2 linked regions of the Macaca fascicularis genome follow. The protein of the gene in region 1 interacts with the protein of each later gene in a pairwise test. Links are inferred from orthologs where the notes say so. Each region holds a gene or a part of one and is shown on either strand. Other genes may lie near its edges.

The links.
Region 2: the proteins of EGFR (region 1) and MAP3K12 interact in binary tests that used the Homo sapiens proteins (3 or more experiments, as listed by UniProt). The link is inferred for Macaca fascicularis from reciprocal best matches to the Homo sapiens genes EGFR and MAP3K12.

The regions. Positions count from the first base shown.
Region 1 is NC_088377.1:75,386,175-75,390,280, reverse strand, and holds the start of EGFR (epidermal growth factor receptor), read left to right. Parts: upstream 1-1,270; 5' UTR 1,271-1,531; coding exon 1,532-1,619; intron 1,620-1,846; exon of another isoform or gene 1,847-2,455; intron 2,456-4,106. UniProt on the Homo sapiens protein: Receptor tyrosine kinase binding ligands of the EGF family and activating several signaling cascades to convert extracellular cues into appropriate cellular responses.
Region 2 is NC_088385.1:60,308,192-60,312,505, forward strand, and holds the start of MAP3K12 (mitogen-activated protein kinase kinase kinase 12), read right to left. Parts: upstream 2,845-4,314; 5' UTR 2,813-2,844; intron 1-2,812.

The sequences.
Region 1 (4,106 bases):
CTAATTCACAGGGAAGTTCCAGGTTGTACGGGTGGTGAGGAGCCTTGTGTCTGTCTGCGCTTGCCCTGGTGAAAAACCCACCGTTCAGGCTGCAGGGTGTGAAACCCAGGCACAAACACTTCGCTGGATGCGGAGGAAAGATGCAAGGTTGCTCCCCTTCAGAGACAGCAAAGGGCAGATCTGTAGCTCTACTTACTTCAGGATTATGATTTTTGACAGAGCCGGGAGATCAGGGTTGTTGAACCAGGCCTGAAGGTCCTAGTGAATCTCGTGAAGAGAGGAGGGGTCTGACTGTAACATGGACCTAGAGGACATTCTTACTGCAGGAGAAGCAACAGTGGGGATGGGGTGGACTTGCCAAAGGAATGTAGCTCAAGTTCCTGCAGCCTAAAGCAGCTCAGTTTCTTTCGGCCAAACTTTCGCGAACTTCCCTGGCATTTCTCCTGCGGGAGCTACCGGTGCAGTGGGACACTTAGCCTCTCTAAAAGCATCTCCACAGCTGTTTGTGTCAAGCCTTTATTCCAAGAGCCTCACTTTTGCGAAGTAACGTGCTTCACACATTGGCTTCAAAGTACCCACGGCCGGTTGCAGTAAACATTGAGGAGGCCTGTCTCTGCGCCCAAAGTTGGGTGCCCTCATTTCAGACGATTTCTAGGGTGCTTCACGGGATCTGAAGGACCCTCGGACTTTAGAGCACCACCTCGGACGCCTGGCACCCCTGCAGCGCGGGCACAGCGACCTCCTCAGCTGCCAGGCCAGCCTCTGATCCCCGCGAGGGTCCCTGGGTGCTGCAGGGGAGGTGAGGACCAGAATAAAGGAGCAGTTTCCCCGTCGGTGCCATTATTCGACGCTGGCTCTAGGGCTCGGCCAGTCTGTCTAAAGCTGGTAGAAGTTTGTTCTGTAAAACAAAAGAAGGGAAAGGGGGAAGGGGACCCTGGCACAGATTTGGCTCGACCTCGACATAGGCTGGGCCTGCAAGTCTGCGGGGACCCAGTCCAGAGGGGCAGTGCTGGGAACGCCCCTCACGGAAATTAACTCCTCAGGGCACCCGCTCCCCTCCCGCGCGCCACCCCCTTCCCGCGGGAGACCAGGTCCCGCGGGGGTCACCGCTGTCCACCGCCTCCGGCGGCCGCTGGCCTTGGGTCCCCGCGGCTGGTTCTCCTCCCTCCTCCTCTCATTCTCCTCCTCCTCTGCTCCTCCCGATCCCTCCTCCGCCGCCTGGTCCCTCCTCCTCCCGCCCTGCCTCCCCGCGCCCCGGCCCGCGCGAGCTAGACGTCCGGGCAGCCCCCGGCGCAGCGCGGCCGCAGCAGCCTCCGCCCCCGGCACGGTGTGCGCGCCCGCCGCGGCCAAAGCGGCCGGAGTCCCGAGCTAGCCCCGGCGGCCGCCGCCGCCCAGACTGGACGACAGGCCACCTCGTCGGCGTCCGCCCGAGTCCCCGCCTCGCCGCTAACGCCACAACCACCGCGCACGGCCGCCTGACTCCGTCCACTATTGATCCGGAGAGCCGGAGCTTGCTCTTCGGGAAGCAGCTATGCGACCCTCCGGGACGGCCGGGGCCGCGCTCCTGGCGCTGCTGGCTGCGCTCTGCCCCGCGAGTCGGGCTCTGGAGGAAAAGAAAGGTAAGGGCGTGTCTCGCCGGCTCCCGCGCTGCCCCCGGATCGCGCCCCGGACCCCGCAGCCAGCCCAGCCGCGCACCGGCGCACCGGCTCGGCGCCCGCGCCCCCGCCCGTCCTTTCCTGTTTCCTTGAGATCAGCTGCGCCGCCGGCCGGGACCGCGGGAGGAACGGGACGTTTCGTTCTTGGGCCAGGAGAGTCTGGGGCGGGCGGGGGAGGAGACGCGTGGGGCACTGGGCTGCGGGCCGGCGGGGAAACGGCCGCCTGGACCTCCGGCGCCCCGAACCGCTCCCAACTTTCCACCCTCACTTTCCCCGCCCCGCTGCGCGGAATCGGCGTCAGTGGGCGAAAGCCCCGTGCGGGTGGGTGCCTGGGGCCGGGGTCCCGCACGTGCGCCCCGCGCTGTCTTCCCAGGGCGCGGCGGGGTCGCGGCGCGCACCCGAGGGACTGGCGCTGCCCACCCGCCGAGGCTGCGCTGTTTAGGGAAGCTGAGGAAGGACCCCGAAAATAAAGCCTCCCTTCGGACCCCGCGGGACAGGCGGCTTCCTGAGCGAACCTCCCTGCCTCCGCGCTCCGCGCAGGTCTCAAACTGAAGCCGGCGCCGGCCAGCCTGACCCCGGCCCCTCTCCAGGTCCCCGCGATCCTGGTTCCCAGGTGTGGAGTCGCAGCCTCAACCTGGGAGCTGGGAGAAGTCCGCCACCACCTGCGGCGCCTGGGAAGGGGTGGTGCTGGCGGCGGTGAGCTTCCTCGTTGGCAAAAGGCAGGTGGGGTCCGACCCGCCCCTTGGGCGCAGACCCCGGCCGCTCGCCTCACTCGGCGCGCCCTCGTCTTGCCGGTCCAGGTATGCCCCCCACCTCCTGGGGACCCGAGCTCCCTCCCGGGCGCCCGCGCAGAAAGGCCCGGGCTCTCGTTCGGTGGCCGCCTCGCGGGGACGTCCGGGTCTGCCCCACCTGCAGCCCTTCGGTCGCGCCTGGGCTTCGCGGTGGAGGGGGACGCGGCTGTCCGGCCACTGCTGGGGGGATCGCGGCCTCTAGTGCGGAAGCCCAGGAAGCAGAGCTCATCCTGGCCAGCACCACAGTGTTTCAAAATGGGGCTCACAGCAAACTTTTCTCCTCAAAACCCGGAGAGTTTCTTTCTTGGATGTTTCTTTTTGCTGTCTGAAGAATTTGACATTGAGCCAACCAAAATATTAAACCTGTCTTACACACACACACACACACACACACACACACCGGATTGATGTCCCTGGTTCAAGTGTGCCAAGTGTCCAGACAGAACATGAGCGAGTCTGGCTTCGTGACTACTGACCATAAACCCACTTGACACGGGAAACATGCCTCGGAAGGTTTAATTGCACAATTCCAACCTTGAGCTGCGCGGGTTCCAAGAGCCAGGCCCGTACTTGCTGTTGATGTCACTGGCATGGGGAGTTGGGGTTTGGTGCCCAGCGCGGTCGTTGGGGGAGGGGCAAGACATAGAACAGTGGTTCCCAGACCTTGCTGCACGTTAGAATTACCTGGGATTTAAAAAAAAAAATCAAAACAAAAACCAGTGTCTGAATCCCGCCCCCAGACATTCTGATTTAATTGGCATGGGGCAAGACCTGGACATGGGATTTTTTTTTTAATGCTTTTCATGTGATCTGTTGGGGAGCCAGGTTTGGGGATCACCGGACGGAAGAAGGATTGTTAAAGTCTCCGGAGAGATTACTTGCCAATGCAAAGAGCTCTTTGAGGACATCTGGAATTTTAACAATGTTGCCAAATATAGGAAAGAGGGAAAAGGTGGGGTGTGGTTCCAATAATAAAAGATTCCTCTTTTCATTGAAGGAACTGGTGGAAAGGTTTCTTCTCTGCTGAGCTTGCAGGGCCCCTCCTGCCTGCTTGGGGGCTGACTGTGGGTCCTGTTAGTCAGGTGTCAGCCCTGTCTCTGCTGAAGAGACTCTTCTCTTTATTTTAAATTAAACCCTCAGAGCACCTCCAAAGCATCACTTTTCTCCCTCCAGTGGGGTTCTCATTCTTTGATGTTACTTGCTTGAACACCACTGTTAGTGATTGGAGATTTGTTCCTGAGAAAAATATAAATACCACTTAATTTGCCTGTTTATCCTGTATTCACTCAAAACAGAAACTCCTGAAGACAGAGAGAGTAGGTGAACAGGCGCTATTCTGTTACAGTAACATAAAAGACTGAATTTTCAGGGGCAAATTATTAAAGTAGGAGATGAGCTCTTTTAACAGAAATTTGTTTGAGACCTGTGTCTATCAAATTCAGTCGATTTTATTCAAGATGCACTTCGTTTAGTAAGGGTTTTGTTTGGTTCTGGGACATGCTAACTTCTGGACTTGCTGCTCTTAGACGTAATGACTGCCAGACACCGTTTCATGCGTCCTAATCCCCACATTAAGCATAAGAGGTGTACACTCTCCTCCTATGGGGGAAACTGAGGTACAAAGAACTAAAGTGACTTTCCCACCGCTGGTAGGAGGCAG
Region 2 (4,314 bases), on another chromosome or scaffold:
AGGTGGTAGAGGAGAGAACACAGGCCTCAAACTCAGAGTGGCTTCCTGAGGTCTTGTCTCTGCTCCTGGCCAGTTGGGTGACCTGGCTTGAGACTTCTCAACAAACCTCAGTTTCTTCATTGCTAAATGGGGACAGTGGTACCTATGTCCCACAGTGGCAGTGCAGTACATAATGTGGTGGGTAAGAACACAGGTTCTAGGTCACACAGACCTGGGTTCAAATCCTACCTCTTGCCACATACTAACTTTTTTACTTTCAACAAATTACTTAAGTTTCAGTTTTCTCCTCCATCAGAGATGATGATAACACTATCTCACTTGGTCTTGTTAAGGGCATGATTAAGACAATCAAAATAAAGTTCTTCGCCCAGGACCTGGCACACAAGAAGCTCTCTCTAAGCATTAGCCATATGGAAAGTGCCTAACACACAGTTGTAAGTTTTTTATGAATGTGAGTCCCTTCCCTTCTTTCCCTTGTTCTTTCTCAAAGCAAGTACCAGTAGGGAGGGTATAGGTGGAAAGGGAGGTGGAGAAACAAGAGGGAAAAAAGACCAAAGAATGAAGAAACCAAAGGACAAGGGCTCTATCCTGAATGATCTTTAGCCTCCTCTGGAATCTGGTCACTGTCGCAGTCTCCTCACCTTCCCCACACACACATATGACCCCAGTGCTTCTGGGAGCCAATGAACCGGACAGACTAGTCTCTGTGGCCAGGCCCTCATGAAGCCCCTATGTCCCCTGCTGGCATCATCTCAACAGTATCCTCCTCCTTCCCAGCATCACCTCAGTCAACAGTGTGAGTGAGTGGATGAGTGGCGGGCATGAGGGGCAGACATTTCCACCTCACTGGAAGAAGCATGGCAGCTGGGGGTCCCAGGGCTTGACTGGTATAGGGCTGAGGACCTGAATGTAGGGGTGATCTCCAGTCCACCCTAGCAAGGACTTCTTACGGGGCTGATTCTCTCATTCCTTCTTTCTCTCCAGATCCAGGCAGGGGAGAGGGAGGACTGTGGATTACAACAGTCTGGGCCGTGAGTGGCAGAACCAAGGGTCCTCTTCCTAGAAAAGCCTGATCCTACCATATTGTCACCACCAGGGGAAGAGCAATTGGTTTTTTTTTTTTTTTGAGACGGAGTCTCGCTCTGTCACCCAGGCTGGAGTGCAGTGGCCGGATCTCAGCTCACTGCAAGCTCCGCCTCCCGGGTTCATGCCATTCTCCTGCCTCAGCCTCCCGAGTAGCTGGGACTACAGGCGCCTGCCACCTCGCCCGGCTAAGTTTTTGTATTTTTAGTAGAGACGGGGTTTCACTGTGTTAGCCAGGATGGTCTCGATCTCCTGACCTTGTGATCCGCCCGTCTCAGCCTCCCAAAGTGCTGGGATTACAGGCTTGAGCCACCGCGCCCGGCGCAATTGGTTTTTAGAAGGGTTCTGCCCTCTTCAGCTATAAGAAAGCCTAGGAAATCCTGAGCCACATCTAACTTCTTGCCTCCTCTGTCTGTAACTGGGATGGGTATTTAGCTGGTGGTCTACATGTTGAGAGCTGGGGTTTTCCCAACATTACCCCAGTTGACAATGGGAGTGAGTGGATGAATGGTATGCTTGAGGGGACACACATGTTTTTTTCACCCGTGTGAGATAGGAGGGAGTGGGGCCCTAAAGCTCAGAGAAACTTCAGTGTCTGGACAGGAAGGCTCAGGGGGCACTTGAGTCCTTTCCTTCCTAAATCCTTTCTGTTAGCCTTGGCTTGGTATGACCCTCTGGCTGAAACTCAGAGCTCCTAGAGCGATGGAGTCCACCTTGAGAACTGCAAGGGAAATGTGTTTAGAGGGATGCACTGACTGTGGCTTGAGACGACTCTGGGTGGGGTAAGGAGACCTCATGTGCACTCCCTCCTGATTGGAGGCCACTCACCTATGCTCCTCTGAAAAAGGCAGCAGATGAGCATCTACAAGGTAGGACTCCTCCCTTAATTCTAAGGGACACCTCACTGTTTCCTCCCACTGTCTATAGAGCCTTGACTCTTCCCTCCTCTCAGTCAAGGCCTTGGTTACCAGCAAGTCTCAACTCTTGCTTATTTTTAAGCCAATGAGTTTGAGGAGTGTTTGTGGGAAAGGGAGGAGGTTTTTGGAGGGTTTGACTGGGGGAGACGGGTTAGGGGAGCCAGAGGAGATGGAGAGAAAGAGGAGGGAGAAACCCACACGTGAATGGGGGAGGGGAGGATGCAACAGCTGGATGGAGGTGAATGCCACAGCTGGAGGGGATTAGGAGGATCACAGCTGGAAGGGGAGGGGACCAACGCCTGGGCATCTAGGAACAGGTGCTCTCTGACTAATCTTCAGGTCCAGCCTGCTAAGTGTGTGTGTGTGTGTGTGTGTCTGTGTGTGTGTGGAGGGAGATGTGGGTACATCAGTCCTTGCCCTTCCTTTCCTTCCCTGGAGGGGGCCAAAACTCTCCCTCCTCCTTCCCTCTCTCCCTTCCTGAGGATGAGTGGGAGGAGATGTTCTCTTGCCCTCTGTCCTTTAAGTCTGTCCCCCAATCACCCTCCACCCCACCCCAATACGGTCCTTTCCAGCTCTGGAGGCCCTTCGTCTCCAAGCTGGGCCGCGGCATCTCTCCGCTCCATTCCCTTCCTTCCCAGCCCCACACGCGTCGGGTCCAGGTCCCCAGTTCCTCCATCCCCACAGCTTCAGCATCCCCACACCACCACCCGCACCAGGCCACATCTGCATCCCGACCCTCCCTCCACGCCCGGATCCCAGGACCCGGACCCATCCCTGCCCCCCACCCCCCCACAACTCGGCCAGGCTCTCACCTCGGGGGCTCCGCGGCCGCAGCACAAAAGGCGGCGCTGCTGCAGCTCCGCTCCGGATGCTGCTCCCGCCTCCTCCTCCTTCTCCTCCTCCTTCCCTCCTCCCCCCGCTGCCCTCCACCGGACCCGGGGCGCTGTCACAGGCGATGCTCGTGCGGTGTCCGGATGCACGGGTGTCAGCTTCAGCTTGCTGCCCCCACCCCCCGACCCCTAGCCCCGTCCCTGCTCGGCTTGAACTCCCGCTCCTTCCAGGGCCCCCGCCCCTGGCCCCCCGGGACGGACACGCCCTGAGCGGGGGATGCTGCGATGGAGCCGCCGGCCTCTTAAAGGAGCCCGCTGCTGCCATCCGGCGCGCTCCACTCTCGTCCCTGGCCCGCCTGGGCCCCGCGCTTCCCTGCTGGCGGTGTCCTATGGAGGTCCCACCTCAGGCCTTAGGCTGATTCCACAGGAACCCCCTATGACTCGTCTTATAGACTCCTTTCTACATCGGAGAGAGCAGCCCCTCAGTTGGGATCCCTAGCGCTCTGGCATTGCTCCCCCTATCATACTGATCTTGCCAGCTCTCCTTCCCTTGATTGTCACCGCTCACTCTAATTTCACCCACTTGGAATTCACTCGACTCTAGGCCCCATCCTCCTCCAGTGTTCCTGGATGACCCCTCATTATCATTTAAAGATTCCTCTGGACCTCCAGCCCCGCCTCAGAGTAAGACATCTCTTTCTTGACCCCTTCTCAGAACACTCATTAGAACCTTTATTTATTTATTTATTTTTTAAAAATGTGATATCTCCCTTTCTCCAAGGTCACAAGATTTCCCTTAGCCCAGTGGTTGTGCGACTTTGGGGGAGGAGGCAATGGGGCTCTAGGACTAAAAAATTTGCGTCTGCTCAACACCCAGATCAGTTGATTAGTCTTAGGCGGCCAAAATTCACTCTTGCTTTCTTCAGCTGAGAGACCCAAGACTCATGGCAGAGGGAACGAGACCACCAGGTGCCTAGTCCTTCTAATCCTGTCGCCCCACACCACAGCCTGATTATCAGGCCCCAGAGATTTCCTTGCCAGTTAGAGAGGTTCACTAGAGCCGTTCTAAAAAGGTTTTACAAAAGAAGCAAAACCTGAAGGAGGTGAAGGACAACCTAGGAAGAGGAAGCAAGTTCTGTGTCACGGAGGCCCAAGGGCCAGGGGCTTAGGCTGTGGGTTGAGGGGACTGTCTGAGACTGACTTGGATCTGCACCAGCTCCAGAGCCCTGCGTAGACAGACATCGGTCCCCTCCGGCGTCTAGGTAAAGCCCACCCTCTCAGACCTCAAAGAGCCCGGATCCGACAGCAACCTCTCCGGACCAATCACAACCTTCCTTCACCAAGGAGGCGGGGTCAGGGGGCTGATTTTTCCTTGTCCCCGCCCCTTTGGTCGAAGTAACCAATTCCAATGTGCCTAGAGGAAGTAAACGCAATGGGAGTAACCAATGACAACATGAAGCTTCTCGTGCGTGCTTGACCCTGCC